Oryzias latipes: one gene and its partners. The protein of the gene in region 2 purifies or fractionates together with the protein of the main gene of each other region. This does not show direct contact. Links are inferred from orthologs where the notes say so. Each region holds a gene or a part of one and is shown on either strand. Other genes may lie near its edges. The genes, in order: med9, mediator of RNA polymerase II transcription subunit 26, polr2b, cdk8 and cdk19.

Evidence for each region.
Region 1: the proteins of mediator of RNA polymerase II transcription subunit 26 (region 2) and med9 purify together in Homo sapiens (affinity purification with mass spectrometry; 6 studies listed by BioGRID and IntAct, with this or other methods). This does not show direct contact. The link is inferred for Oryzias latipes from reciprocal best matches to the Homo sapiens genes MED26 and MED9.
Region 3: the proteins of mediator of RNA polymerase II transcription subunit 26 (region 2) and polr2b purify together in Homo sapiens (affinity purification with mass spectrometry; 3 studies listed by BioGRID and IntAct, with this or other methods). This does not show direct contact. The link is inferred for Oryzias latipes from reciprocal best matches to the Homo sapiens genes MED26 and POLR2B.
Region 4: the proteins of mediator of RNA polymerase II transcription subunit 26 (region 2) and cdk8 purify together in Homo sapiens (affinity purification with mass spectrometry; 5 studies listed by BioGRID and IntAct, with this or other methods). This does not show direct contact. The link is inferred for Oryzias latipes from reciprocal best matches to the Homo sapiens genes MED26 and CDK8.
Region 5: the proteins of mediator of RNA polymerase II transcription subunit 26 (region 2) and cdk19 purify together in Homo sapiens (affinity purification with mass spectrometry; 4 studies listed by BioGRID and IntAct, with this or other methods). This does not show direct contact. The link is inferred for Oryzias latipes from reciprocal best matches to the Homo sapiens genes MED26 and CDK19.

Annotation. Positions count from the first base shown.
Region 1 is NC_019866.2:10,874,350-10,879,472, forward strand, and holds med9 (mediator of RNA polymerase II transcription subunit 9), read left to right. Parts: upstream 1-2,004; 5' UTR 2,005-2,056; coding exon 2,057-2,136; intron 2,137-2,331; coding exon 2,332-2,551; 3' UTR 2,552-2,756; downstream 2,757-5,123. Other genes in the region: rasd1 (dexamethasone-induced Ras-related protein 1), read right to left, coding at 3,651-4,174, 4,284-4,554.
Region 2 is NC_019875.2:6,559,061-6,563,897, forward strand, and holds part of mediator of RNA polymerase II transcription subunit 26, read left to right. Parts: intron 1-2,281; coding exon 2,282-2,356; intron 2,357-2,440; coding exon 2,441-4,072; 3' UTR 4,073-4,837. UniProt on the Homo sapiens protein: Component of the Mediator complex, a coactivator involved in the regulated transcription of nearly all RNA polymerase II-dependent genes.
Region 3 is NC_019868.2:3,850,188-3,856,957, reverse strand, and holds the start of polr2b (DNA-directed RNA polymerase II subunit RPB2), read left to right. Parts: upstream 1-2,215; 5' UTR 2,216-2,331; coding exon 2,332-2,350; intron 2,351-3,460; coding exon 3,461-3,533; intron 3,534-3,834; coding exon 3,835-3,985; intron 3,986-5,783; coding exon 5,784-5,896; intron 5,897-5,968; coding exon 5,969-6,188; intron 6,189-6,271; coding exon 6,272-6,430; intron 6,431-6,510; coding exon 6,511-6,675; intron 6,676-6,751; coding exon 6,752-6,770. Other genes in the region: gar1 (H/ACA ribonucleoprotein complex subunit 1), read left to right, coding at 1-60, 132-142. UniProt on the Homo sapiens protein: Catalytic core component of RNA polymerase II (Pol II), a DNA-dependent RNA polymerase which synthesizes mRNA precursors and many functional non-coding RNAs using the four ribonucleoside triphosphates as substrates.
Region 4 is NC_019878.2:17,541,143-17,547,973, reverse strand, and holds the start of cdk8 (cyclin-dependent kinase 8), read left to right. Parts: upstream 1-2,932; 5' UTR 2,933-3,326; coding exon 3,327-3,454; intron 3,455-4,554; coding exon 4,555-4,630; intron 4,631-5,839; coding exon 5,840-5,950; intron 5,951-6,471; coding exon 6,472-6,612; intron 6,613-6,831. Other genes in the region: E3 ubiquitin-protein ligase RNF6, read right to left, coding at 778-919.
Region 5 is NC_019882.2:10,375,786-10,381,959, forward strand, and holds part of cdk19 (cyclin-dependent kinase 19), read left to right. Parts: intron 1-34; coding exon 35-92; intron 93-407; coding exon 408-539; intron 540-604; coding exon 605-748; intron 749-1,195; coding exon 1,196-1,265; intron 1,266-1,352; coding exon 1,353-1,425; intron 1,426-2,439; coding exon 2,440-2,537; intron 2,538-2,648; coding exon 2,649-2,727; intron 2,728-3,436; coding exon 3,437-3,670; intron 3,671-6,174.

The DNA of each region.
Region 1 (5,123 bases), on a different chromosome or scaffold from region 2:
TATATGTTGCCAAATGTATTCAACTTTTCACATATTTTGCAATGTAAAAAGAAGAAAAACACACCTATTTCAATATATCTGCAACTAATTAAACAAAAACAAAACATTTCAACAGGATTTTGAAGAAAAAAAACTATTTTTTTTATTTAAATCCTTGCTGCAATTTTAGTTTTAAAAGTCATATTTGACTGCAAGGGAGACAATCCCAGCTACTGCAACGGCATTTACTGTATGTCGCTCTAAAAGTGATTTCTGCAAATCCTGGCTAATGTTCAAAACTGGATTTAAATTATTACTAAATCTAAAAATAATTATGCAAGCTCCTTCGCTGCCTCAAAAGTGAGGTTCAGCTCATCAGCATATAAAAACAGCGATATTCTCTTTTCAAATTGGTTTGATATGTGTGATGCAATGACCAGATCCGTCAAAATGATCCAAGATTTGATAGTTTACACTGTGATAGTTTACATTGTAAAATGCTCTGAAAACGTCAATTTGAGGTTACTAATATATTCTGTTTAGTTTGTGCAAAACCTCCCAATCAAGTCGAAATGGAAATCCTTACTTTTACAGTCAGTGGCGCCACTCATTTAGATATCCATTCTTTGTCACACCTCTGGGTAAAAGCCTCACACTTAATTTAATGCTCACTGCCTGTGTCACGTTGGCATTCTATCTTCTCCAGGGGAGACTGAGTTTTTCCCTTTCTGTGTTCACCAGGTGTGAGTAATGAACTCATGGGATGTTCGCTGCATCAAGAGGTCAAACTTGATTTCATGTGAAATGGATGTAAACATGAGTTATTTGGGCTAAAAAGAATACATTTAAAAATAAAACACATAATTCAACATCAAACAGGAGAATCGTCATTGCTACACATGCATAATCGTGTAGTCACTTGTACTAACAAAGAATTGAGCAAATTAGCCATTTTAATTCTCCGTGTTGCCTAATGTATTGCCAAACAGGGCTTTAGAAAATAACCAGGAAGTAAGCTTTTCATTATTTTGTTTTATTTTCTACATACTAAATATTGTATCCCCAATCAACAAGGACGCACTGTGTAAACAGAAAAGGAAAAAGGGTTTCCAGACAGAGATGCACGACCTGAATGAAACACTTCATTTATCTTCCAAACAGACAAATTGCGTGACGCACCGTGAGACTATATTTGTGCTTGCTATGAGCTCTAGTGTTTACACAGCTCCCCATTTTTCAGTTCTCAAGCATGTCTTGTGTTGACTTTCGATGTCAGTACTTCAGGTTACCAAGTAGCAAGACGTGTAGCCAAGGTCATTCCAAGTCCTAGGTCATGTGTTTATTATGTGCATTGACAAATGGTCTGTGACCTCCATCCATCCATCCATCCATCTTACTCTGCTTTACCGGGACTGGGTCACGGGGGCAGTCTAAGCAAAGATGCCCAGACTTCCCTCGCCCCTGCTACTTCCTCCAGCTCTTCTGGGAGGGACCCCAAGGTGTTCCCAGGCCAGCCGAGAGACGTAGTTTCTCCAGCGTGTCCTGGGTCTTCCCCGGGGCCTCCGCATAGTGGGACATGCCCGCAACACCTCCCCAGAGAGGCGTACAGGAGGCACCCGGACTTGATGCCCGAGCAACCTTGGAATAGGTCTGGGACCTATTCTGAGCAAAATGATGACATGCCACGAGAATTGCAAGGGCTTTATCAGAAAGAAATCAGTCCCAAATCTTTTAGATCTTTTTTCTTGTGTTTGAAATTTATTACAGCAAATTTTTCTTTGTTATTTCTTGTTTTGTGTCAAGACTTTTTAATAGTTTGGGAATCATACCATGACTTATATGACTTACCATCTCAAGGTAATCATTTTTTTCATACTTTTGATAACTAGAGTATTCATTCATTCATTCATTCATTCATTTATTCATTCAATCAATCATTCACTCATTCATCTATAATCATTGTTGTTGTTGTTGTTGTTCAACATCAATTGAACTTTTTTAAAGTTGTGATTTCAGTTGAGATTCTCGGAGTAACCTGTGACGTCATCAGCCTGCGCCAGTTGCAGAAGGAGTAGCAATGGCGGTAGCTCAGGCTAAGCTCGTGAAGGAGACCGAAGACTGCTCTTTGCTGCCCTTAGTTCACGACATTATCAAATGGTAAGCTGTTTCCTGTGTGCTGGGTTTACGTATATGTTGGTATTTACTAAATGGTTCACGGTAAACTCTCGTTGGGGGTATTTACGGTTTGCTATATGAGAAGTGACGTGAACGCTTCCCATCATGGGTGCAGTTTTGCCTTTAATAGAAGTCTGTTATTTATGTATTTATTTATTTATTTATGTTTCTGCTTAGCATGGATAAGGACAGCCCGGATGTCAACCAGGAGCTGACAAAACTAAAAACAAAGATCCAAGAAACCCGGGAGCAGATCTCTAACATGTCTGGGATAGACTGCAGTCCGCCGGAGCAGCAGCAGCAGCTGGCCACGCTGCGGGAGCAGGTCCGCACCAAGAACCAGCTGCTGCAGAAGTACAAGGGACTGTGCATGTTTGATGTGCCTAAGGCGTCGTGAGACAACAGACTACAAACTGGAGACTTGAGCAAAGACGTTTATTTCTACGGTTTACCATTTAAAAAAAAACCTGAAATGAAAAATGGGACTTTTGTTTTTCTTTTTTGTTTGCATCAGTGTGAATGATCTGCTCTGTTTCTGAAGTATCTGTTATTATTTCAAGTTGTAAATCTCTATTTTTAATAAATTAAATCGTGCTATAGTGTTTTACTTGTTTTCATTATTATTATTATTATTATTATTATTAATAATAAATGTATAAGGGCTTTGATGCTTTATTGAGCAGACCATTTAGTCTGAATCTAAAAGGTTTTTAAATAAAGGAAAGCATTTGCCACGGCACACACTTTCACATAACTTTATGTAGTTCCTTTTCACAACATGCAAAGTAAATCTAATTTAATGTGAATCAGCATTTTTCTCTAAACAAAGTTTGATTTTAATCATAAATGATATTGTCTCTAATGGGCCAAATATTACATCTGTTGATATCTACTAAATAGCCTCTAATTATATGTGCTGCACTGCCTCCTAGTCTAATTGTTTTCCTTCTCTGTTATTGTGCCATGGTTATCATTTGTGCAAACAATGGAGTCCTAATGAATAATTATTCAGGCTGTTAGCTCTTTTTATATATAAGTCCATTTAATTTCAGAATGTCTCAATAAATGATGTGTTATAAACATGTATTTTCATTCGAACAGCAGAATGAAAACGTATATATAATTCTTAAAGTGTTTGTTTTATGCGAGAAATTGGAGAGTGGGACTGAGAACAGACTATGAAAGTATCAAGTTTTTTATTTTTTATTTTCTCTTTATGCAAAAGTGGACAAGGACATAATAAATATACACATGGAGTTCATTTGTTCATTCTGCAGCAAACATTCAAGTTTGAAAAAAAGGCAACATGTAAACTTGGTTTTCACCTTCTAGTGCTGCGCATAGAAAGCAAAATGTAGAAACAGATTTACAGCATTTTCAGAGCATCGATTTCACTACATGTCTTGGCTCATATTGGACAAGAGTGCCTAAAGTTTGTCGCAGACGCGCTGCGCATAGTCACATGGGGACAAAGTTTTTTGCGCTCGTAGAAATGGTCAGCAAATTACGCAGCCCTTTTCTTTGGCGTGGCCGCCGCCGATGGCTTTCTCCTTTATGTACATCAAGTCACTGTGCACGCTTGGTCTTCGTGCGAACGGTGCCACAATCCCATATGCGTTCCCATCTTTGCACTTCTTGCTTCTGAAAGACTTTCTGTGGAGAACGTCGCAGTACTGCAGGGAAACTTTGCAGTGCCGATCAGGACTCATTTCGTTTGGCAGCTTGGCCATGGTAAAGAGAGTCTGAAACATCTGGTCGACGTTGGTGTTCTTCTTCGCTGAGATTTCAAAGTATGCGCACTGTTCATCTCCACCAACCAGCTGCTCAATCTCCTCGTCCTGCACCTCCCGGTAAAAGTCTCTGTCGCACTTGTTGCCGCAGATGACCAGCGGGACGTCCACGTTCTCCTTAGTTTTGTTTCGCAGGCATGACTTGGTCTCGTGGATTTGGCGCTTCAGGCGCTGCACCTCTTGAAAGGAATCTCTGTTGTCCAGGCTGAACACTAAGATGAAAACATCACCTGGAAGAACAGAGGAAACGTGCGTTTTAGAGCTGAACAAAACCAGTGTTGCCGGGAAATATTTCCTCTATCCTAGAAGCATAATGTGCAAGTTTCAAGCTGAACTCACCAGTGAGAATTGAAAGCCTCCTCATTGCAGGGAAGGGGTGGTTTCCAGATGTGTCCAGGATGTCCAACTGGTAAACGTCCCCTCTAATGCTGTAAAATTTCCGGTGGAAATCTTCAATGGTGGGTGTGTATTGGTCATCAAATCTCTCATTCAGAAACCGAGAGATGATGGCTGTCTTCCCAACTTTAGTGGAGCCCAGGATCACCATCCTGTGACAATTCTTGGCTGGAATGTCGAAGTCATTCTCCGACGGTGACATCTTCTTAATCATACTTGCAGCAAACCTGCACCCGGTCTCGCACTGCTCTTGCTCGGACGGTCTCAATCCTAGAGTTATAGTGAGGAGTCTGACCCAGGCTCTGTCTCTGAAGCTGAAGTGGTGCGAGCAGAGAATTTATAGGGGGATTTTTTGCCGCGCCTCCGTGCGTCATGCGTCACCCTGCAGCTTGGGGAGCAAGATCCAGAAGCTGGAATCACAATGTTACCAGGGCTGCTTTTGTGCGTCAGATCAATCCGTGCCTCATGACAAGACTGAGACAGCAAGACACAGCTTGTGTGTTTAAAACACAATTCAGGAACCTTTTGTTTTTGTTTTGTTTTTTACCTCATGAAAAAGGAAAACAATGATCATATTTTAAAATCAAGTTTATTGTCATACTTTGTTAAACTTTTTGTTGTTTAAAAAAAGATTGAACATTTTCCAAAATGGCCATTCAGCTGAATAGCATTTTAAAACACTGGAAAAGTAAATTTGTCTGCGTTAGAGTGCATGATGTGCTCTCCGCTGTTAATGAATAGTCAGGAGAGAGCAGCTGGATGGAGGGAGCGGGTGGTGGACCT
Region 2 (4,837 bases):
TGTTGTAAAAATGTAGAATATCATAACAATCCTATGGAAAAAGTTTTTTTTCAGCTCATGTCAGTCTGTTCTGATATGAGTGAAAGTTATAGTGTTTTAAATCTTTTTGCTTGTTTTTGGATGCCAGGTCCTGTTGTTCAACACCTTCATTTGAATAATTTTTATTGAAAAGTGCACATGTAGAAACATGCTAGCATGCACGCACTTCGTTTGTCAGTGGAAAGAAGTTGCTGCATACGTCTCAATTTAGAGGTTGCCTTGAAATCTGAAAAATAGTCGAAAAATACCAAAATGTTGAATAAGAGACCAGGTTGTCAACCATCAGGTTCATTTTGGTTTTCCTCCCTGCAATCTGGTTGTTTCAGACAACCGGATAACCGCTCATTTCGAACGCTGATTTACCGCAATTTCCGCCAGTTTTGACGATGCGCATCTTGCACAGCTTGATATCGCGATAAAGATAAATTTGCGGTTTATTGTGCCGGTGTAGGTACCAAGAGTATTCGGCCTGCAATAACTGTCGGGGTCCTTCGGGGTCCTGCGACTAATGATGACGTCTCATTATGTGATTGGCTGTATGTTGCTCTGATGACGTTTAAGATGGTGATTGGTCCACAAGTTTACACGCCAACACCATTATTTGTGAGAGCAAATACAGTTCTTCTTGAGAAACATGGGCGACTTGTACATCGAAATTTCCCACTATATATCACAATGGACTGATTATAGCCTCACCCTCAATTCACAGGATATGTTGGAACAGGGAAGAGGGGAGTACTGCAAGGGATTTATTTAGAGGATCATAATCCAGGAAACTGCAGCCACTTTTGCAGCCAAATGCAATAGGTAAACTTGAGTCAGCCGCATACATTTATACTAAATGTGGTCATTAAAATAATTATGTTATTGATTACAAGATCTTTTTTATGTGCTTTACATTTTATTATTTGACAAGAAATTCTATTTTAGCGATTTTTACAAACTAGATTTATGTTTATTTTAACTGCCCTTTCTGCATATCATGTGTGGCCAGCAGTGGAGACGAGCAGAAAGTTGGATTCAAGACATTTAGCATTTGTTTTAGTGCTAATTCTTTGGTTTTTTGGTTGGTTGGTTGTTACAATAACTTGAATAATACAAAAAAAATTGAACAAAAAAAATAAGGAGTGTGTGCTGCTGTTTTTTTCTTTTCTTTTTTGTAATAAGTTTATTTATATAAATATAAACCTTGCAATCATAACTGTTAGAAACTGACATTTGGGCCAGTTAAACCAGAATACACACCATAAATAAATATTGTTTCTCATACAGTCCTTCATTTACTCATGTTGGAAAAATAAGTTTATGGCCAATGTGTCACCCTATTATACATTTGGTGCAACAAACAATTATGTCAGACACTGCTTAAAATTCAAAATGTCATTATTTATGAGGGAAAAAGAACTTTAGGTTACAAAATGAAACGTGAAATTAAAATATAGAGCCCTAGCAGATCTCAACGCTATGTAGCTATGTAGTTTGTCCAAGCGGTGTTACCGTAGTGTGATGTCATCATTAGTCGCAGAACCCTGAACAGTTATTGCAGGCTAAATACTTTTGGTACCTACACCAGCCTAGTTGAATTCCATTTTGATCTGTGATATTTTTAGAGTATGCTTTGCGGGAGCTGTGGTCTTCATGGGAGACCATGCACCCTTGGGCACTGCGTTGGTGACCCCATCCAGGGTTTCACAGCAGCTAATCAGGACACAAAACAGGGTGTGCAGTTTGGGAAAAAAACAGCTGCATAATTGCTCTTACAGAATGAGCGAACGGCAAAAGATGAACTCCAATGTAGAAAGGGAAGACTGTCTTCTGTTTGACAGGGATTCTTAGAGGGGTTCAGGTCGGAGCACAGACTGCAGAGTGGTGGATTAAGATGTCTCTTATGTGGGTCTCCATGGAGAGGCCGGATTGAAGGCAAGCCGGATCCTGCCCACGACCCTGATTTAGACAATTTGACTGAACTCACCTGGTTATCACAGGTGTCTGAGATGGATGTCAGTGATCCACACCATAATCCATGAGTTTGATTTGAAAAATTCATCTTTTTGACTCTTAAATACAAAACAATTGCATAATAATTTGGAACACACTGTATAAATGTGAGGTAATGAATCCCAAGAGAAGCATACCAATTTGTTATATCTGCATTTGGTGTCAATCTTTATTGAATGTTGTTCAACAGTGTGGATGCCAGCATTGTCTTTGAACTCATGAAACAACTGTCTGTTTTTTGCAGATTTGCAACATGGTGATTGTGTTGGAAGTAATTAACTGTCTGGAGAAATATCCTATCACCAAAGAAGCACTTGAGGTAAAGCGTGCATTCCTAAACAGATACTCCATACTGAAAGGAAAATACTGACTTTCTTCTCTGATTTTCTCACATATTTTACAGGAAACGCGACTTGGAAAACTGATCAATGATATTAGAAAGAAGACCAAGGATGAAGATCTTGCAAAGCGCGCAAAGAAACTGTTGAAAAACTGGCAAAAACTGATTGAACCTGGGCCAGTTGTGGCACCCAGTGTCACTGGGTCGACAAATGGCAGTTCTCATCTGTGCCGAACCGACCCCTCTCCTCCAGAGATTTCTGTGTTGGGGAAAGGATTTGCTGATGTTAGGATGAGAAATTATGTTCAGAACACGTATTCACCTAAAGCTGAAAAATCAAGCAAGCGCAAGGTAGAGCACAGCAGACTGCACTTAACAGAAAACCTCTCAAAGACGTCTACATATGATAATTCTGTCTCCCCACTACCCACCAATGGGATTGCTGGCAGCCCAAGAACCCAGTTTGAACAAGATGTCACAGTGTCTCCTGGTAAATGCCGAGTAGATCACCTTGATGACGACAGAGTGAACAGAACTTCAGTCAATTCTGTCAGGCCTTGTCCCAACTCCCCTGGGGTGGAAAAACTACCCAGCACTTCCTCTTTGGTTAAAGTTGCAGTAATCCAGCAACATGCCAGGCTGGAGGAAGAAGGAGGGAGCTACAATCAAGGCAAGAGTCCTCGCAGTGTCACTTCCAGTCCGCGGAGCCAGAAGCATGACTCCTTACCAAAGCGCTCCGTACCATATGGACTGAAAGGAACGCCAATCCCAAGTCCTTCTTCCAGAGACTCTCCCTTATCCTTTTCCCAGGCTTTGGCTTCTCCGGGTCAACCATCTTTTGCTGAGAAGCTGCCCCATTTATCTCATAAGCCTTTGTCACACACAACCAGTTTGTATGAACCCCAGGATGTATCTGGAACTCTGGATTCACCATCAGCCTCCCCTCTCCTCTGTCAACAGAATACAGAATCCCAGAGATCAAGATTGGAAGCGGGCTTTGTGGTGTCTGATGATACTGATAGAATGACAGCAGCCAACTCTGAGCATAAAAGGAGGAAGTACAAGTCCAGAGACTTCTCTATTAACCTGGATGGGCAGAAAGTGGAAGACACAACTAAGAGAGTACGGTTAAAAGAACGCAGACTAACGTTTGACCCAGTCACAGGTCAGATCAAACCTCTGGTGCATAAAGATCCTTCTCCAGTAGAGGTGTCCTCTACTCCTGATCCAGCAGAGTTTAGGCAGAGAACAGAAAGTTCTGTCCAGCAGTCGGCTGCCACAACAACAAGTCCTTGCCCTAACCCTTTCCTCCAGACTAACTGGAAAGAGCTGTCTAGAAACGAAATCATTCAGTCTTACTTGAACCTTCAGAGCAATTTGCTCACCTCTTCAGGGGTTCAGACCCCCAGTGCACACTTTTTTATGTCAGAATATCTCAAAAGGGAAGAACAGGAGACCAAAGAGTCCAAGAAAATGCACGTTTTGCAGACAGACAGCTCAAAGGGGGATTTACCAGGCATGAGTCGGCAGTTGACGGACAAGGACTTGGAGAGGATCCACACACAACAGTGGCCAGGAGTAAATGGTTGTTATGACACCAATGGCACCTGGTATGCTTGGACAGAGTGCATATCACTGGACCCCCATGGGGATGAAAACAAATTGAACATCCTGCCATATGTTTGCCTTGACTGAGGAGTGTGGAAAGCTTGTTTTCTTTTTCATTCCTTTTGTTTTGTCTTCACCAATGAAGCATAGTTTTAGATTTTGTTGTTCACTGTGAGTTTGGCAAAAAAAAAACAAAAAAAAAAACAGGGCTGCTTAACCCCCCTCCCCATGGCTCAACCTGTGATTACAATTTGTTATCAAATAATACAGATAAAAAAAGTCAATTTCTGAGATATCAAGGGCTGTTTCTGTCTTTTTTTTTTTTACTTTAAAGGCCACAAAGATGAAAATAGCCATGTCAGCTCTGCTGTCACCCTGATGGAAATGGTTTTCTGAGCCTGAGACGTTCCCATGTGAATTGTTGATCAGAAGTGCAGCCTTGTTTGACGGGGATCAAATCCTTCTCATTGAGCTTCTCATTTGGAAAAGAGTCCAGATCCGTCTGTAGGAAGGAAGGCTGGGGTTTGTGCCTGGAGTTCATAGAGTACAAACAGAGTGAAACATGTCCACAATTGAAAACATTTGAACATGTTTGGCAGTTGAGATATTTTGTGATGTATAAAAAGTAAAGTATATGTTCCTTTTAATATGTTCTTCTATTTATTTTTGACCAATTCAGTCATGGAAAGTTTGTCCGTTCTTCATAACTTTTTTCTTGAGCGTGTTGTCAGCCTCCTCTTTGTCATCATCTCTTTTAGATTGGCCTTTTTTTTGGATCAACATTCCAGAGTCAAACTTTATTTCTGGTTTCTTGTCTTACAGCTCATAAAGGTTTTGTTTCCTATTGGCACT
Region 3 (6,770 bases), on a different chromosome or scaffold from region 2:
GTGGACGCGGTGGAGGAGGCTTCAGAGGAAGAGGAGGTGGTGGTGGCCGAGGATTCAGAGGTGGGTTCACCGTCAGGCGTCCTACTGTGCGCTGTTTGTGTCGTCTGAGCTGTGTCGCTGTTTCCTCGCAGGAGGACGATAAAGGAGGAGGCGCGGCCCTCCATCTGCGTGGGACAGACTCCTCACGAGGAGCAGCGGCTCTTCCTGTTTTTTTGGAAGAGCCGTGGACCTGGATCTTTTCCTTCGGAGGGTTTGTGTGACGCATCTCTGTGGTGCGTTCATGAACGGGTTTATTTCAGCCTGTGGTGGTTTAACCACGGATGGACACTTTTTTAAGGCTCTGATTAAACAATGCTTTGTAAACACGTGTGTGTGTTTTATTTCCTTTACCCGACTTTTGAAAAAGCAGCTGCGCTGTCTGGAAGACGGATGAGTGATGAGAAGCTGTCATTTCCAAAAATCCCTCTGTTTTAGGCTCAGGGATGAAGAAGGGAAAGCTCTTTGAGAGCAACGACATTTCAAATGTTCACTGAATTGCAGCTTTGAAAAATCCCACAAAGATTTTCAATCATTTACGCTTTAATGACAACCAAAAGAAAATTCTTTTTTCCTTTTTTTTTTTAGACATTTATTCCATTTTTGGGCTGTCTTTGTTTTCTTGTTTGATTTTCAAGTCATTTTATGTTAAACTATTAAAAAATTTAACTTTTTACAAGTAGTTTTGGATAATGCAGCATTTATTTCTCCGTTTACCATGACTCGTGATTTCTATCAATGTTGGACTTCCACCCCCTGCAGCTTTACACTAAACATCAGTTTTGTAAAAAGGAATTCTGTATAAATGGTTGAATCCCTTCCTTTCTGTGGTTCTTGGTCCTCCTGCAGCGTCTAGAGTGGCATTCAAATCCATCACATCACGTCCTTCACATGAGCTGCAGTTGATGGTGGAGTTCTCTCTCTTCTGATGTGTCAATTATGAAAAATACAGTTCTAGCTAACCCAGATTATCTACAAAGATTAGAATTGTTCTGTAGGTGTTGGGAGGGGGATTAAAAGCTGCAACAATAGGACCGTTTGTGATGACTAAGCTTTTCCTCATCAAAGACTCCATTCACTGATGGTACAGAAAATAGATCGTTATAAAACTCTGGTTTTACATAAAATTCCCAACAGTACTAGAAAAAATAAAATCTCATTTTTAGACAATCTTTCAATCAATAGAAGAGTTTCTGCTTTTCCCTCCACTATGTAGCAGAGGGTTGTAACACTTACAGGCTACGTCTGTTTCAGATGGATCTGGATTTATACGTTATTTGGGTTCTACCATCTTCTTTTTTACAGAAACACCTTAAAACCTCTGATAGTGAACTTAAATAATGTTAGGAAAACGGATCAGATGTAAAACCTGCTGCATCTCTGCTCATGTTTTACTAAAAGCTTCACTTTCTGGATGTTTGTCAATTTGTTCAAATTTACTGTTAATTTTAATCAAACATACTTAAAATCCTTTCAAAAAAGTCCTGTGACTTCATTATTTTCTAATCAACACAGAGGAAAGGCTTCCGGCAGGAAGTGAAGTCCACTTGGCCTCTTGTTAAACTGCAGTGATTATTTTTTTATAGTTAATTTTATGATTCATTTTAAGTATTGAAATCATGGAATTATACAATAAAGAACAGAAATCCAAAATTTAAACAGATTAAATCCATTTCAGATAAAAAGTAATAATTGATAAGAAAAAAGATGTAATGAGATGATGCTATCATATTGACAGTGTGTTTATTCATAATTATAAATAGATGCTTTGCATTAATGCATACAGAACACATGCACGTTACATTAGACCATTAAGATGCACTACCAAGCGTCATTGATTATCAACAAAAACATTAGTTATAAGTTCACACATCCTTATATTTGGGATTTACATGAACACAAAATGACCTGTAAGTCCTCTCATCTCCATATTGAGAAACAAAAGTTTCCTTCTACAATTTCTTGAATTTATGGATATTTAAACATTGTAAGTTGAACACTGATTGAAGGGAAAACCTAATGATATTAGAGTAAAATGTTAAGTATCTATAGTTAGCTTTGATGTCTGATTTATTATTGTTACATTTGTTTTACTAACTGCACTTCGCACACTGCTGTTCTTGGCCTCAACCGCAGGGGGCGCTGTCACAGCAGATGACCGCCAAACACCGGAAACCCCGCAGAAAAAGAAGAAGTGTTTCCGGGTCTCTGTGTCAGGCTGCGCGCCGCTTCTCCGTGTTTTTGTCTTCTTTTTTCTGAAGCCGTCTTTGTTTTGAGGGATTTTCGGAAGCCATCATGTACGACCAGGACGAAGGTGAGGCGCGGATTCCACGCAGCGCCGTTAGAGCTGCGCGTGAACGCTCACGCATGGCGAACGTCTCCTCCATCCATGATCATGATGTTCCATGTTGTTCAACCAAAACCTGTCTGAAGCTTCTTTGCATGCAGCAAGTTTCTGGAACCGGACTTTCTGTAGTTGAACAGACTCTTAAAACCGAGACGCACGTAGTAACCAGGGGGGAAAAACACGCGTGGAAAACGAGCAGACTAGGAAACACGCAAATAACTTTAGTCAGTCCGGCTGGGGGGAAACATTAGCACTTTGTCGCGATATTTTGAAGTATTTTATGCCAAACCAGAAATGTTTGTTCACCAATATGGTCATCATTGAATAGTTGGAGAATTGAAGAAGAAGAAGACTGTTTTCTGGGAATGGGCCCACCACCCTCCCTGGTCAGTGGGATGCTGTGGGAGGTGACTGCCGTGCAGGAGCAGCGCCGCTCCACAGCAGCAGGAGCAGCAGCTGAGTGGCTTTAACATCTGTTCAGTCTGTTTGTTAACCTGTAAACACGCTCACTGATTCTGGTTAAGTGACTGTCCGAATAATCCAAATCTACAATTCCAAAATCCAGATCGCTAGAAATTTCCCAGAAGTCTCTGCGAAAAACCAGTGTGCCTTGATGGTCACTTGATTGGTGAATTTGGACCACAATGCATTGCGTTTGAACAATTTTTCATTTGAAAAAAAAGTATTTAAAGGAATTTCTATTAACCATCATCATGATGATGATGATGGTCATCATCAAACATGTTCAGATTTACGTCATAAAATGTCATATTTGCCATAAAAGAAAAGCAGTAAACATGGCTTTAATTGGCTTTAATAACCAGGGCAATAGATAGTTTTTTAAGTAGTTAGGATGTAGAGAAGGAATATGAACATAAACCCTCACTCCCTCTGTCATGATAACACAGTCATATACAAACAAACCTTTATTTGCAGTCCAGACCGATGACGGACACCCACCAAACTAACTAGAGCGTAACCCTAAGGAACCAACAGCTCAGTGTTGATGACCAGCTGCTGTCAGTTACCTTTAATGTCTTAGTGTGGATGTGGCCTCATCATTTCTGTGTCTGTTAGATAACCAGTATGATGAAGACGATGATGAAATCACCCCAGATCTGTGGCAGGAAGCATGCTGGATCGTCATCAGGTAAGCTCACCTGTCAGGCCCACTGTGACAAAACATGAGTGGGTTTCTGCTGCCGCACACGCAGCAGTCACGCAGTCACCAGAGCGTTCTGCATCAGAAACCCAAACTGCTGTTTAGATAGAGTTCAATAAAAAACAAAGGAAAAGTTGAACCTTTTTCTGATCATCTTTTACACTTTAAGCCTCTTCAGTCATCTCTTTTAATCATCGGTTCTGTGAGTTTCTGGTGCAGGATGTGACGCAGACGGTTCTGATCCGCTGCAGCTCTCCGAGCTCTTCCTGAACTGCTGTCTGTTCTGCAGCTCGTACTTCGATGAGAAGGGTTTGGTGCGGCAGCAGCTGGACTCCTTCGATGAGTTCATCCAGATGTCCGTGCAGAGGATTGTGGAGGACGCGCCTCCCATCGACCTGCAGGCTGAAGCACAGCACACGTCAGGGGAGGTGGAGGAGCCGGTGAGTCTGCGTTGGCTGGTTTGGGCTGCAGGTCCTTCAGTTTTAGTAGGAGCTTCTGATTTTTATGCCACATCAGGGCTCCAGACTAACTTTTTTCACTAGGAGCACTGTGGCCCCTAACTGAAAATTCTAGGGGCGCATACCGTAAATCAACATGCTAACCAAATCTATTCATTTCCACTGTATTACTAATAAATACTTTAATAATAGATGCAGAAATTAAAATGTGCTGTTTCAAATTCAGTGTCACATTTTATTCTTCACTTTTGAAGATGCAACAAGAAGGTAAACTGACAGCACCATCGCTGTCATGACAGTACAAATAGTAAAGAAAACAGATGGAAATTTATCTTTGTGACACCAAATAGGTGCAGCCAAGATGCACAATAAGTGTGTTTGAGATCACCCAGGTGAACTCAACGCTGCACAGATCACCTGGTGTGAGACATATATTTTTGTTTTTGCTCCAACATCAACTGTCAATCATCACAAAAATATCGCGAGAAAGGGGTGGGAGCAAGGGGCAAACCTACCCGGACACAGCTGGAAACTAGAGACTACAAAACAATGCATTATGGGACATGTGTCCTGATGGTTTTTGTAGTGGAGTGATTAATTAAAATAATTTAAAATACCAATTCATTAAAAAGGCTACATACATCACAAAACATTAAAATAATCATAAAATATATAATAACACAGATCATACTAAGGGGGAGAAGAATATTAAAACTAAATTGAATGTTAAGGACAACTCCAACTGTTGTCCTTCAGTCTTGCTGCAGATTCGCCTTCATCTCACAGTGCCCCCCCCCCCCCCCCCCCCCCCCCCCCCCCCCCCCGCCTGGTCTCCCTAACGATCCAGGCGAGGTGCCGGTTCATCTCAAACACGTCTATCGTTGCATTTTCCCCACGTATTTTCAGTGTGTCTAAAACTAATCTTGTTTTTGCTCGAGCGTGTTTAAAGTTCAAGCCCCGTTAGCTGTCACGCATGTAGGTGTGGGACATTTATTCTCCTCAGCTGACCCGAGTCCCGCGGGACGGGAGCGGTGTGCTGCCGTAACCCGTTTGATGCACCGCCGTGACCGTAACCAAAACCTAAACCTTCCTCCGGGTCTGTGTGACCCAGAGAAAAGTTCAGCATGGACTGCATGTATTTAGAAAATCACGAGCGAATAAATACGTCAGTAACCATGAGGTGCACCGTCTCGGCTTATGATTAAAGGCAAATCCAAGTCCATGACCCCCCCCCCCCCCCCCCCCCCCCCCCCCCCCCCCCCAGAGGTCATTCTGAAGCTTTTTGGGGGGATGGAAGGGTAAAGAGAGAGAGCACAGGTGAAAGGATCACATTCAATCGCAAAAGGCGGCGAAAAGTGCAATAAACGGTTACGTTAAATGTGCTAAAACAATCTTATGGCTGCTTGAAGAATTTAACAAATCAAATAAATCCATTTATGCATTTGACCGATCAGATGGACGCCTTCACGTTGTTGACCAATCAGATGGAGCTCTTTTATGTTAGACGTTTGCCTCCCATGCAGACGAGGATCATTGAGTGTCATTTTTAAACTGTTGCAGTTAAATGGATGTTCTTGGTTGTTTTGCTGTTTGTTCAGGTATCGCAAGTTAAATCGCTATCGCTATATTGATCACTAATATCGCGAGTTTTCCTCATCGTGCAGCTCTATCAAAAACCAGCTTTGTTGTCAAGTAAACCCCGGAGCCTTCATCTGTTCCTCTCCATCACACTCAAATGCCTACCGGAGGCTTTTAGGGAGAACTGTGTTTTCTGTTGTAGCCTCGGTTCCTGCTGAAGTTTGAGCAGATCTACCTGTCCAAGCCCACCCACTGGGAGAGAGACGGAGCGCCCTCCCCCATGATGCCCAACGAGGCGCGGCTGCGAAACCTCACGTAGGTCTCTGCGAGCGTGCGCTCCCCGGACGTCGCTCTGCGCCGCCCTCACCCAGTCTGCTTGGCCCGCAGGTACTCGGCCCCCCTTTATGTGGACATCACGAAGACCATCATTAAGGAGGGGGAGGACCAGCTACAGACGCAGCACCAGAAGACCTTCATCGGGAAAATACCCATCATGCTCCGCTCCACCTATTGTCTGCTGAGCGGCCTGACCGACCGAGATCTGTGTGAGCTTAACGAGTGTCCGCTGGATCCCGGAGGCTACTTCATCATCAACGGCTCAGAGAAGGTGAGACCGGCGCCTGCTGTCCGGGTCAGAGACGGGCGCTCCAGCTGGTTCTGACGCCTGAAACCTGTGTCTCAACTTTCCAGGTGCTGATCGCGCAGGAGAAGATGGCCACCAACACCGTCTACGTCTTTGCCAAAAAGGACTCAAAGTACGCCTACACGGCAGAGTGTCGGTCCTGTCTGGAGAACTCCTCTCGGCCCACCAGCACCATCTGGGTCAGCATGATGGCCAGGGGTGGACAGGTGAGTCCTCCTCACTCAGGAGAGTTGCTTCATGTTGGTTCTGGGTGAAGAGTTTCTCACAAACGGCTGCGTCGGTGCAGGGAGTCAAGAAGAGCGCCATCGGCCAGAGGATCGTCTCCACGCTGCCGTATATCAGACAGGAAGTTCCCATCATCATCGTGTTTCGAGCTCTGGGCTTCGTGTCTGACAGAGACATCCTGGAACACATCATCTACGACTTTGATGACCCCGAGATGATGGAGATGGTGCGTTTGTCACGCAGTTCCAACAGGAACTGAAGGCAACAGTGTCACCGAAACGATCACGCCACCGTGTTTTCAGGTGAAGCCTTCTCTGGATG
Region 4 (6,831 bases), on a different chromosome or scaffold from region 2:
TAAAACCAAACTGTCTGGGAGGAACTTCAATATCTCAGCATCTCATGAGATAACATGCAGCGTAAGACCAAGATATTCAAATATTAACCTAATGGTAATTTCTCTTAAATTAACATCAGGTTTTTCAAAATTACTGAAGGTCAAACAGTGTGACAGATGATGACTAAATGTAACAGATGAATAAGAGCACAGAGGCCGTGTTGCTTTGTTAGCTTGGAAGGAGAGAAATGTCTATTACAGTCATATGCAGCATTGTTTCAGTCCCACACATGCCAGTCTGAATGTAACTTTGTAGTAGTTCTACAAAAATGTTATGAAACTTTATGAACAGTATTATTTATTGTAAAAACCTAGATACTCACAATTAGGACTGGACCAAATGCCATAATAACTCAATCTTGTCTTAAAAGCACATGTGGTTTTGAGAATTTATGAAAAACATAAAAGTCGCAAATCCAACAAAGTTAAGCCATTTAACTGTAAAATTGTATCCGTACTAAAATATCTGCATCTCAGTCATAAAACAAATTCAGTTTATTTGCAAACATTTCCATTAAACATTGTAATTCAAAGAAAATTTACCAATGACTTTTGAGCATAAAAAGCTTTTTAAAAGCAGGTGTTAAAAAGAATGTGTTGCTAAAAATAAGTGGAAAAAATTAAATAAAGAGTTTAATTAAATCTATGTCACACTGTCATAAAAATTACATTGAAAGATCACAGCATGCAACTCAACTGACAACCCAGAGTCCATGTAATGTGTATGCCAATCCTCACCAGGGGTGCCCAGCAGGTTACCATCTCTCATGAGGCGGTACTCGTCTTCACTCAATTCATTTATGAAGTGATAATATGCTTCCTCCCGTCGAAGACGCTCTGCCTGCCTCTGCCGTTCATCTCCCCCACTGGGAGGGTCCATAACAAAGAAGAGTGCTGGAAGGCCCATGTGGAAGGGTGTCAGAGAAATGGACACGGTGAAGCAACATTTCACTTCAGTTCACAAAAATGTGGAACATTTATTCTAATGAAGTTAGACATGCTTCCAATCAGACAACATTAGTTCGTGACCATCAGTCTATATTCTTCTGTTTTATTCTTGTCTAAACAAATTTTAATTATACTTTATAATTTTACTGTTTTGTGGCCATACTATCCTAACTGTGATTCTTGTCAATGCTTTTCTAAAAGGTCTTTTTTGTGCATAAAATAAACTTGCCTCTCTAATACTTGTTATAATTTCTACTTAATTTACAAGAGTATTCAAGGTTCAACACTAATAGCAAAATCATTTGTGTATAGGACTAAGCAATATGGACAGCACAGTAGTATTAACATTTGTGGAAAAAAGGTATAGTCATATATGTTCTGCTGTAAAGGCCCAGCTATAATTTGCATAAATCACTGATCAAATGCCTGTGAGCGAGTATACATAAATAATAACCATGAATAGTATCCCCAAAAGGCCATGTCCAAATCATGTTGTTCAGCTGACTCTTAACCAATCACCGCCCCTGTTTGGTTTTAGTGGCAGGTCAAGTAACCAATCACCGTGCGACAGAGGCGGAAAATGAAACCTATTAAACGGAGATCTACTCCATGTAAACGCAGGACAAGGAAGGAAACACAAAGTCGTGAACAGCACTAAACAATAAAACGATTAAGATATTATACTGGGAATACACGTACGACAACACTTTAACGAGGCTGTTTGTTCTATATTTACTTCAAGACGCTACAATGTTGATTTAAACAAGCAACGCGTCAACTGCTAACTAGCATGCTAGTGATATAACGTCAGCTAGTAGTAGCAGCACTGAAGTCGACAGCCGTTTAGCTGAGAGGCAAAACCTCATAACGCACCACATATGCTGTTACAACAAGTTCGCCGGATATTGCACATATGATCTATCTTTATAGATAAATGGAAACCACATTAGGAAGTAGTGTCAGTAACATTTGCTTTAGAGAAGTACCTGACAAAGCAGCTGTAATGGAAGGTTCTCTCCGCTTTCCCCTTTCTCTCCGACCAAGATGGGACCAGCGGTGCTACATGACTCTGCTCGCCGGAAACAAAATTCCTTAACCCTTAGTTCCTACAAACACAGCTTTTTGTTTATTTCTTTGTTTGTTTGTAATCTTTTTTTAAGTTCCTTGTGATATTATTGACTGGTAAATTTGCTTCTAACATTGATTAAAAGATTAAACATGTTTTTTTTTCTTTTAGTCTACTGTATGCACCAACTGACATCCTTCGTCAGCAGCAAACTAAATGCTGTCTTTTTATTTTTATTTTTAGAATTAATATGCAAAATACAACAAAAATTGAGATTAAATAGAACAATTATGTTGAAAAAAACGGGGATGGCGTATGCATTACAAAACATACATTATAATATAGTAAAAATATTATATATATATATTATATAATTATATATTATATATAAAAATATATTAAAAGACAGACAACTTTCAAATATATTTTTTTTTGTTGTTGCTACTGTTAGAAATTGTACTCCAGTCAATCAAAAAATGTGTATGCATACAGGGAGACATTAGATTAACGAGGATAATTCTAGGTATTGTATTCTTTTTTTTGCTTGTTTGTTTAAATAGAAAATTGTGACTTCTCATGGCATTTCGGTGTGTATGTAAATAGCCTTATTTATGTACCATTTCACGTTTTTTCTCTTATAGAGGTTTTATGTATTTAAATACTTGTTTTCTTTTATGTTTGTTTTTAGGATTTATCAATAATTACTTTTAAAGATTACTATTTGTTGAACTGTAAAAACTAAACACTGGCAAGTGACTGCATAATAAAAGAAAGAATATCTGAAAAACCTTCCTCGGCTTTATTTGTTTGTTGTTCACCCACGTACTGATTTATTTATTTATTTATTTAAGTGCGAATATCCACGTGGTTGTGTATCTCTGCCATTCTCCTTTCTCTGCTGCAGGGGCTGTCTTTACGACACTTTGCGACAATGGCTGGCACGATTACGCCGTGGCTACAGACTGAATTGCGTCTCTTTGGAGAAGATACCGGCTGAGAGAAACGCAGAAACAACAGAAAGGAAATTGTAAAATCGGGCCTTTTTCAGCACGGATAATTGCCAATCTCCGCGCTTACCCATCGGAAGGTTATTTTCGAGCCCAAACCTCGATGTGGAAGCTGAGCTGAAGAAAGAAAGGGACCCGCTGGGAAGGCAACTAGCTGAAATAACCAAAAACCGAGCTCGTTGAGTCAAGGAGCCTAGTTGCCTCCCTAGCGACGCTTTAAAAAGAAAGGAAGAAACGCAGACATTCAGCCTCTGAAGTGGTGAAAAATGGACTATGACTTTAAACTGAAGCTGACCGGTGAACGAGAGCGCGTCGAGGACCTGTTTGAGTACGAAGGATGCAAAGTGGGAAGAGGCACCTACGGTCATGTGTACAAGGCGAAGAGAAAAGATGGGTGAGTTGATGACCAACAAGGCCTCCAGCCGCTGAACCCTGCGCCAGCCCCCTCCCGCTCCATTTAAACCACTTTAGTTTGCCCCCTTTCGCGGTGGAGGAAGCGTGCTGCAGACAAAAACAGCAATAGCAGAGTGTTAAAAAGCCCACACTAGGATGCTGAGGAAGCTTTGTGTAGCAGCACTACTAGCTTAAATGAGGAGTGACATTTTCTCTCATGGATGGGAGGCTAATTTAGCAGGAATATATTTGCAACCATTGCATGCAGCTTTGTGGTTGGTTCTGTGTGAGCATCATTAAATTGTATTAGTTAAGGTTAGATCTAATTAAATTGATATTGTACTTATTGTGGTTCTCAGGTCTTGTTTATCATAATCCACACACATTTAATTATGAATTTGATTATGATTTTCCAGTGGAAATAAAGGTTTATTGGCAGTATAGATGTGTCTGAGATCAGTTTTTTAAACTAATATTTAGACAGGAAATTAAGCTTCAATAATAATTATTTTTTAGGGGACATATTTTTTCTAGTAGTGACACTGGGATTTGTTATTTATGTTGTTAATGTTAAAGCAACACTTGAGCTTTTAAAGTGCAACTTTCCGATGTGGTCCCTAGCTTTATCTGGCCCTAACCTGGGTTAAAGCAGCAACTTCCTGGCCCACACAAGGCGCATTACCCTAAAGGAGAAAATCTGGACAGCAGAACCATAGAAAGAAGCTTTGAGATGTTTGTGTTACTGTTGTTTATGAGACACCGTGGGCTGCAGAATCTTTCCAACTACAAAGTGTGGATTTATAAGATAATTTAGGCCAAGAGGAGGAACGATATTCAAGAGTGAGCCAGTCCCAGAGCTCTGTTTGTCCCTCCCAGCTGCCAGAAACCGCCTGTTTCCTCTCCCCCTTTATTGTTTAGAGCCTCAGAGGTGAGCTTGATTACACAAATCTGGAGGTAATGCAGCTCAGCCTCTTCACCAGCTCCCCACACCAGCTGCCAAGTGCCCCCCTCCCGTCCTTTATTTTTGTTTTCTGTGCATAGAGCTTTCTGGGGGCCTGCTGTCTGGCCTGGTGTTGATGTGCTGGATTTTTCTGTTTTTAGGAAGGATGATAAAGACTACGCCCTCAAGCAGATAGAAGGCACTGGCATCTCCATGTCAGCCTGCAGAGAGATTGCAGTAAGGGCTTTTTCCCACTGGTTAATACATTTATGCCATTCTTTTCATTTAGAATATTTTTGTTTTAACCACTCATTAAATGAAACCAAAATTGGTTTATTGCATTTATTCATTTGTAAAATAAGTTCATAATCATCCTAAACTTTAAATAAGACAAATTAAGATATTTCATTGAAAGGACATTTGTGTTTATTGGATTAAAATGTTTCAAAATGCACTACAATATGTCCTTAGTGTGACATCTGACCATATTAGCAGCTTTCTGTCCCTTGAATCCTTTTACGTCTAAACTTAAAGGGATAGAACACCAAAATGTTTTTTTTTCTTGTGATTTAAATAAAGATTAGCTGTTTTCAACAAGGACAAAGAAAATGAAGCAGGCTTTGCATAAAATGCTTGTTTAGCTCGCTCCACCCCATCTCAAAAAGCCATTTGTGACTTTTAACATTACATTTAGCAGCTAGTTACCCATCATTCTTCCTGTACATGCTGGATACTGGTGGAATAGTCAGACATGAAAAAGGAAATTATTAATTTAAGTTGAACAAAACCCCTTAAAGATCATTTACTCGCTGCTTACCAGCACTGAAAATCATATTTGTGTTCAAAAATCGAAAGTCTGGGTTGGCATTCTCTCACTTTGGTTGTTGCCAGATTATTTATTTATCGTCTTTGCAGGTCAGAGGCTTGTTCAAGTACCGAAAGAACTGTTCTAGAAGCACCAAGCTCAGGGAATGTTTGGCAACTACATTTTTTTTCTGAGGCCATAGTAATTGCTGAAGATCACCTCAAACATGCAATACTTTCTGCCTGGTAGTTTTATTGTCTAAAATTGCAACCAGAGAGTGCTGGGATTAACAAACGCACAGCTCCTGCCTGCAGTTTATCACAGCCATGCTGACTCTGACTTTACTCCATAAACAGGCTCCCATCTGTCAAATCTATCAGAATATTTCTTGGTCGTCAGGTAAACAAAAGCTGGAAGGTGTTTGGAATATTTTATGTATGTTTGTGGCGCGTTCAAAATGTTTTGAACTTACAGGCTAACTCAAACACTTTATAGGCATTCATTAATTGTAAGGTTTATCTGCTTTTGGTAGATCGTGCAGGTAATACCTGATTTTCGTTTTATTTTCGGAAATGTTTCTGGTCTGTGTGTTTTTGTCGTTCCTGATTTATGCCATGGAGCTGAAGGGTTTTATGTTGCAGCTGCTGCGGGAGCTGAAGCACCCCAATGTCATCTCCCTGCAGAAGGTTTTCCTGTCACACGCGGACCGTAAAGTATGGCTGCTCTTTGACTATGCGGAGCATGATCTCTGGGTAAAATGGAAACACACACTGGAACTGCACTACTCATCAATCACACTACTGCTGTGCGAGGGGAGAGCCAATACGATGTTTTTCTACTTTAACTTTTTTCACAAGTAACAAATCCCCACCTATGCTCAACGATATGTTACATAAATTACACTGCACGTCAGTACTTTGAAGATTTTTCTCTACACGCGGGAATGCGCCCCTTTGATGCTTCACACTTCAGAAAGAAAAAAACAACAACACTCCAGTCTGTTGGTGTCATGAGAAGAATTACTTTGCTTTTTGGTAGTTAAACCCTTTTCCATTTAAGTAAGCAGTTACGACTGGCAGAGAATGTAAGTGAAATACCTTTTACTGCCGCAGAGCTGCAACACTTGCATTCCCCCTCCACAGAAGTGGAAACACATGCTTAAACCATATTGCCTGTAGAACACACATGTCAGTGTGTGGATCTGTAGAAAAGAGTCCATTTTGGTAAATGTGCTCATTCATGGTACAGCTGCTGTTTTCTTGTCTTCCCGTAGCACATTATAAAGTTTCACAGAGCATCCAAGGCCAACAAGAAGCCGCTTCAGCTTCCCAGAGGAATGGTGAAGTCTCTGCTCTACCAGATTCTGGATGGCATCCATTACCTCCATGCCAACTGGGTCCTACACAGAGACCTTGTAAGAGGATTGGGGTTTAGGAGGGTGAAGGTTTTTTAGCTAAAATAGAAAGAAAAAAACCAAAGTAAAGAAAAAAAAATGGATTAAATGTAAAAACAGCGTGGGTTTAGTGCAAATTACCACTTATCCTTTAAAATGCTAAATAGTGCTGACCTTCTTTAACTGATATAGGCTTCTTTTCATATAATATTTCTCCTTTTGTTTTTCTCAGAAAATATA
Region 5 (6,174 bases), on a different chromosome or scaffold from region 2:
TGAATCTAAGATGCTATGTTTGTGTATCCAACAGAAACCAGCAAACATCCTGGTGATGGGAGAAGGTCCGGAGCGAGGAAGAGTCAAAATAGGTGAAGGAAATTTCCATACTGTCTTCCTAACATTTGCACCTCTGCAGGTCTGCTAATGGTTGTTTAGAACAAACTTTGATTTGAAGCTTTTCTTCAGATATGCATTAATCCTTTTACTTTAAATAAGCTGTAGCAATACTTTTAGATGCTACAAAGCTGCTGAGGTGGAATTATAGATTGTATTGTTTTTTTTGTTTTTTGCAACTCCAACCATGAAACTGTATGTGTCAGGAATGGTGTCACCGTTATCTGCTGGCCTTTATTCCTCTCATGTCTTTCTGATACTGTCCCTGTCTCTCTGCTCCAACCCTAAAGCTGACATGGGTTTCGCCCGACTCTTTAACTCGCCCCTTAAGCCGCTGGCAGACCTCGATCCGGTGGTGGTGACCTTCTGGTACCGCGCTCCTGAGCTCTTGCTGGGTGCCCGGCACTACACCAAAGCTATTGGTGAGTCACACAACTAAGAGTGGCCTCCATTTGTAGATATACTCATGCTCATGTGTGTTTTACAGACATCTGGGCGATTGGCTGCATCTTCGCAGAACTGCTGACGTCAGAACCCATTTTTCACTGTCGCCAAGAGGACATCAAGACCAGCAACCCATTCCACCACGACCAGCTAGACCGGATATTCACCGTTATGGGTTTCCCCGCAGGTCTGCTAATGGTTGTTTTGAACAAACTCTGCTTTGAAGCTTTTCTCACATGTGCATTAACCCTTTTACTCTGGAGCTCTGGCTCCAGTCTTGACAGTCTTTACGACTACCATAATTCTTCAACCGTTTATGGAAGTGTTGCTGATATGCAACACTTTACAGTTTTGAAGTGTTTATGTAAGTTAACATACATCTGTGGATAAAAGCGTCTTTGCCCCAGCATGCAACATGTGACGTTACTAATATGTTGAGCGTGTAAGCTGTCGAAGAGTTATGGTACGTCAAAGAGTGTGTGTTAGTCAGATGTCACCAGCGACATATCTGGTGTTTAAGGGCAAACATCAAACATAGATCTTTCTTGAGGGATTAACAAAGGTGTAAACTTTAAAATACCGGACCCTTTTGTTGTGGTAATTGTGACCCCCATGACTTGTTTTCATTCCCCAGATAAAGACTGGGAAGACATCAGGAAGATGCCAGAGTACCCCACCCTTCAGAAGGATTTTAGGAGGACAACGTGAGCAACAATCTGTTCGCCATCAAACCCATAAAGACTAAAATGACAAAATTTCATAGGTGTCTTCACAATGTTCTCACTTGGCAGGTATACAAACAGCAGCTTAATCAAATACATGGAGAAACATAAAGTGAAACCCGACAGCAAGGTCTTCCTATTGGTAAGTGTGCTGATTCAGTTCTGTCAAGTTCAGTTCATTTTCCCAACTGGTGCAATCTTGATGCGCTGGTTAAAGAGCACGAAACATCAAACTATACAAAAGATCTTTTGGATTTAGAAAGAACAAACAAACACAGGGACAAAAACAATGGGACACCTGTTCTAGGACAAAACAGATACAAGTAGACAACTGTAGCAATGGCAATAATGGGAAGCAAACAAAAAAGAGAAACAGAATCAAAAACACTGGAACAGCTGTTTTGTGAAAAAATTGAGATAGTAACTTTAGAGATTAGATAATGGGAAGCAAACAAAAAAAATCACACAGACAACACTGGAACATAAATTAAAAGATAAAATAGAGACAAGTAACTGCAGGTACACACCACAGGTCCTGAGAAAAACTAGCTTGCCCAGTGTAGGAAACACTGTAATTTAACCTTTAAGCACCGGAGGGGTGGCTCTGGTGTTAACATTCTTGGTATTACGGGAACTCTTTGACCGATTGCACAACAACAAAATTCCAACAGATTCTGAAAGCTGAGAAAAAGCTTTGCACGGTTATGCAAGACTTTAAAAGCTGTTTTCTCATTTTTTGAAATCCAGTAGAATTGCTTTAATTGTGCAAAGGGTTGAAGTTATGGTAGTTTAAAGATCATGTGTTACTTGTTGTTGTTGGGGACAGCTCTGGCTTTACGGGGTTCATTGGGAAAAATACTGCCCAAAGAGTTAATCCATGAAAGTGTGACTTAGGTTCGATATTGCCTTGTTGGTAGATCTGTTGTGAAAATGTGAAGAAGCTCATAAACGTGACCGTCAGAGAAAGTGCATGACTTTTTTTGAATCGTTTTCTTCTTGGTCAGTGTTTGTTTGGGAAGAACAATGTTAAAGCAAATCATGTCACAATGGGAGCATTTCTTGCCCTGTTGAAGCAGTTTTACGGAACTATTCTAGTGTCGAAACATTGTCAGGCTTATTTTAAAGCTGGCTGGAAAACTGTGCTGTTTGTCTTCAGCTTCAGAAACTCCTCACCATGGACCCTAACAAGCGCATCACATCTGAGCTGGCGCTGCAGGACCCCTACTTCCTTGAGGACCCATTACCGACCACAGAGTGAGCCTTTTGCACAAGTTCCATCTCAGCAGGAGAAATATTCATGTTTTATCACGAGTGTCTGCTGTAAATGTCCGACTGGCCTGATGTTGGTTTGGATTTTCTTTTCAGTGTGTTTGCTGGCTGTCAGATTCCCTACCCCAAACGAGAGTTTCTGAACGAAGACGAGCCCGAAGAGAAAACGGAAAAGGTAATAGCACGCTGACATAATGTGACTTCACAGGCCACACCTTAACAATACCCATTCAGTGGATAATTTGGTCTTTTGGGGGGTTCTGTAGTATATTTCTGAAAGCTGAATGATCCACTTCATCAAAACAAGTATTCTTACTTCAATTAATGAATACTTTGAATACACCATTTGTGCCTCAAATGTCTTCTTGGTACCTTTGAGAGCAGATCAGCATGGTAGGTACAGAGTTTGTGTTTTGAAGAAAAAGTATCCAAGAATTTCAAGGTCTGACGTTGAAAAGGAGGACGAACAAAGGCCGTCTGTGATCAGACACATAGTATACTAAAAGGTGACCTCTGATTGATTTTAGCTTCTATCCCCAGATGTATCTTCTTTAGAAGCTTTTTTTTTTTTTTGCAGTCACTTCATTTTGGCTTTGGTCTATACTTATTTTATGTTTTACATACCAAAACCTCCAAACCTCTAAATTATATCTGTCTAAAATACAGACCTTAGTAAGCTTTATGTAAACAAGATGACCTAACAGGTAACCAGCATAAACATATTGCTTACATTAAGGTCATTTTTACTGTTTAGTCAGATTGTTGTTGCTCAACAAACAAGTAAATCAATAGTCCCTAAAGAATCCTCCCAGGTTGTTCTTCATTGTCTTCTCTGTGTTAACTAAGTTTGTTGTTTTGTGTGTCTCTGCAAAAAACAAACCAAGCAGCACCAGCAGACGGCAGGCCAGACTCAGACCCAGAACCAGCAACAGACGACGGCCCAGCAGGCCCCCTCCCAGCAGAGCTCGGCCCAAACCAATGGCACCACTGGAGGCGCGGGAGCCACCGGCGGTGGGGGTCTGCAGCACAGTCAGGATCAGGGTCCACCCAACAAGAAACCTCGGCTCGGGCCCTCTGGGGCTTCCTCAGGCACGGGGGTTTTACAGTCAGAATACCAGGTAAGTTCTGCTAATGTGTGGTCGATTGTTGGGTCTCTTGATATCAGCTTTCCCACATTTTAAACCCTTTTACTATTTAACCCTTTAACTCCAGTAGTACTACATAAGTAGACCCCAACTCACCAACGTGTTTTTTACCTAATCATAGATGACTTCTTTCATTCACGGCGAGGGAACAAGTGAAACGATAAAAATCTTGAACGAGACTGAAAGAAAACCTGAGAGCTGCATCTCCATATCTGCACGCTTCAATTCAATTCAGTTTAGGTTCAACAATTAGTTGTGCTTACAGATCTGTCTCAAAGTGATTGGATAAAAATGGTTGATTTTCCTTTAAAATGGTGAATTAGATGATGGTCACAAAATAATCAAGGTTATTCTTTGTAATTGAAATTACTCTATATTTAAAGCTCAGACTCAAAGAAGCCATAATATGGTTAACAGTGATGAAGGAACGAATAATTAAACTTCCCCCCAGCTTCACTCCACTCTCCTGTATTCTCCTCTTAGGCTTTTAAACCTTTCATTTCTCCATAGTGCTGTAGCTGGAGTTTTCCCTTTTTTGTGGAGCTACAACGTCTATGGATGCTTTAGTTAGTTGTTTATAATCATCAACAATAAAATCACTTGATTCAGAAAAAATATGAGCCAGAAATTGGGGTAAAATATTGATAAACTGGAAGCTACATCTGAAGTTATACATTCCTTCCTTTATTGTAATTTTAGTCAAAATAAATGTACAATTCTAAAGCTTCGGTTCACATGCGAGGTTTCTTGAGGCGCCACTTTGTGAAAGCATGAAACCATCAAACTATGCTGACAGGATATTTCACAAAACTGCATGTTAACAAACCAAGAGACCTCTGGGATAATGTCCTTTGAACACACGATACCAAAAAGATAAGCGAGACACTCTTTGTTCATAGAGATTGCTTTATTTGAAATACAGAAACACACGTCCAAAGTAAATCTCTTTCAGATTAAAAAAATCATTACTGTGGATGATCAGACTGACAAATTGTTGACCAGCTGCTTTTATGTTGGATGGAGAACGTGTGTGATTGGGCTTCTGCTGGTCTCAAGTGATGTTCCTCCTCATGACAGCCTTAAATGAACGTTTGTCAACAGGATTTGTTGAGATAGTGACTCAAAGAGTCTGATTCACACTTATTTGCTTTTAGTTTGTCATTGACATGTTGATAGATGGACAGACGCCCTTTCTGTCCGGCCTGCTTTTGAAGGTCAAAGCAGAATCCAGGCTTTTAACTGCCTACAGGGTTCACACCCATTAATGTAGCGGTGAGCTGAATCTTGACATGGAAACCGGATTTCTATTCTGCGTAATGACTTGGCAGCAGAACATTTTGACCATTACAGTTATATAATCCTGTTGTCTTAGTTCCAGGAGCTTTTGTTTGAGAGTGAAAGAGTAATGGTGGAGAAAACACGTGCATCTCCACAGTAGACAATACCAGTAGATAAGTGGCGTCCAGTCCAGAGCGCCTGCTGACAGAGCGACGTGGAGCATCTGTTTTCCTGTCAGGCGTCACATTTATCAGTGTTTATCACAGAAGAGAGCTGAGGGTGCAGACTAAGAGATGACAGAAACACATGACACATGTCACAGAAGTGGAGTTTAATGTCAGGGTGTGAGGGAAAGGAGACCAGAGAGAAGTATGGAGGTGATTCCATGAGGCCACAGAGGGGTAACTTTTTCAGGGAAAGACAGCTGACTCCTATCAGATGGGCACAGGTCAGAGTAAACCCTTCAGCATTACATCACAAACATGCATACTTATAGCACACAATTACTCCTATAGGCTCTAGGTTTTTATTTTTTCAAAATTGTTTTTTTTTGGGTTTTAGAACAGCAATATTGAACACGTGATATGAAACAATATATCCATTTTTTTTCCTTTCCCCCCCTGTTCACACACATTGGAACCAAAAAGAAAAAGAAAGAACCCCAAACAGAAAGGCGATACACATCCCATCACCAATCCTCCAGAAAAAAAAAGGGAAGTACAACAGATGTGATTAATACCAAGAGCAACTCTCCAGGGATTACGAATAGGAGATGTGTAGAGCAGTAGAACACACAAAAAACAAAATGGTCTTCATAAACACAGAACAAATTATTCAGGTCAGTGATAATTTAAAGTGACAATTAGTAAAGCAAAATAAGATAAAAGAAATAACTAAAAGTACATTTTTTGGTAAAATGAGAGCCAGCTAGGTGTTTATGTTACGTGATTGTAAAGTTTTAACATTTCCAGAAAAGGGTTGCCAAAGGCTCTAGGTTTTTGTGTACGTAGAGCCTGAAAACAGGCTTAAAAACTTGCATAGTGATGAGTGAATGCGAGAGTTTTGAACGTGGAAGCCCGAAACGCGCAAAATACATACAGTTTCAAAGATTCTTCATTAAAAGTCTCACTCGAACACGTTTCCAAGCCAGATGTTAACTTAGTAATACAGTCACCGTCCCATTCACACACACACACACA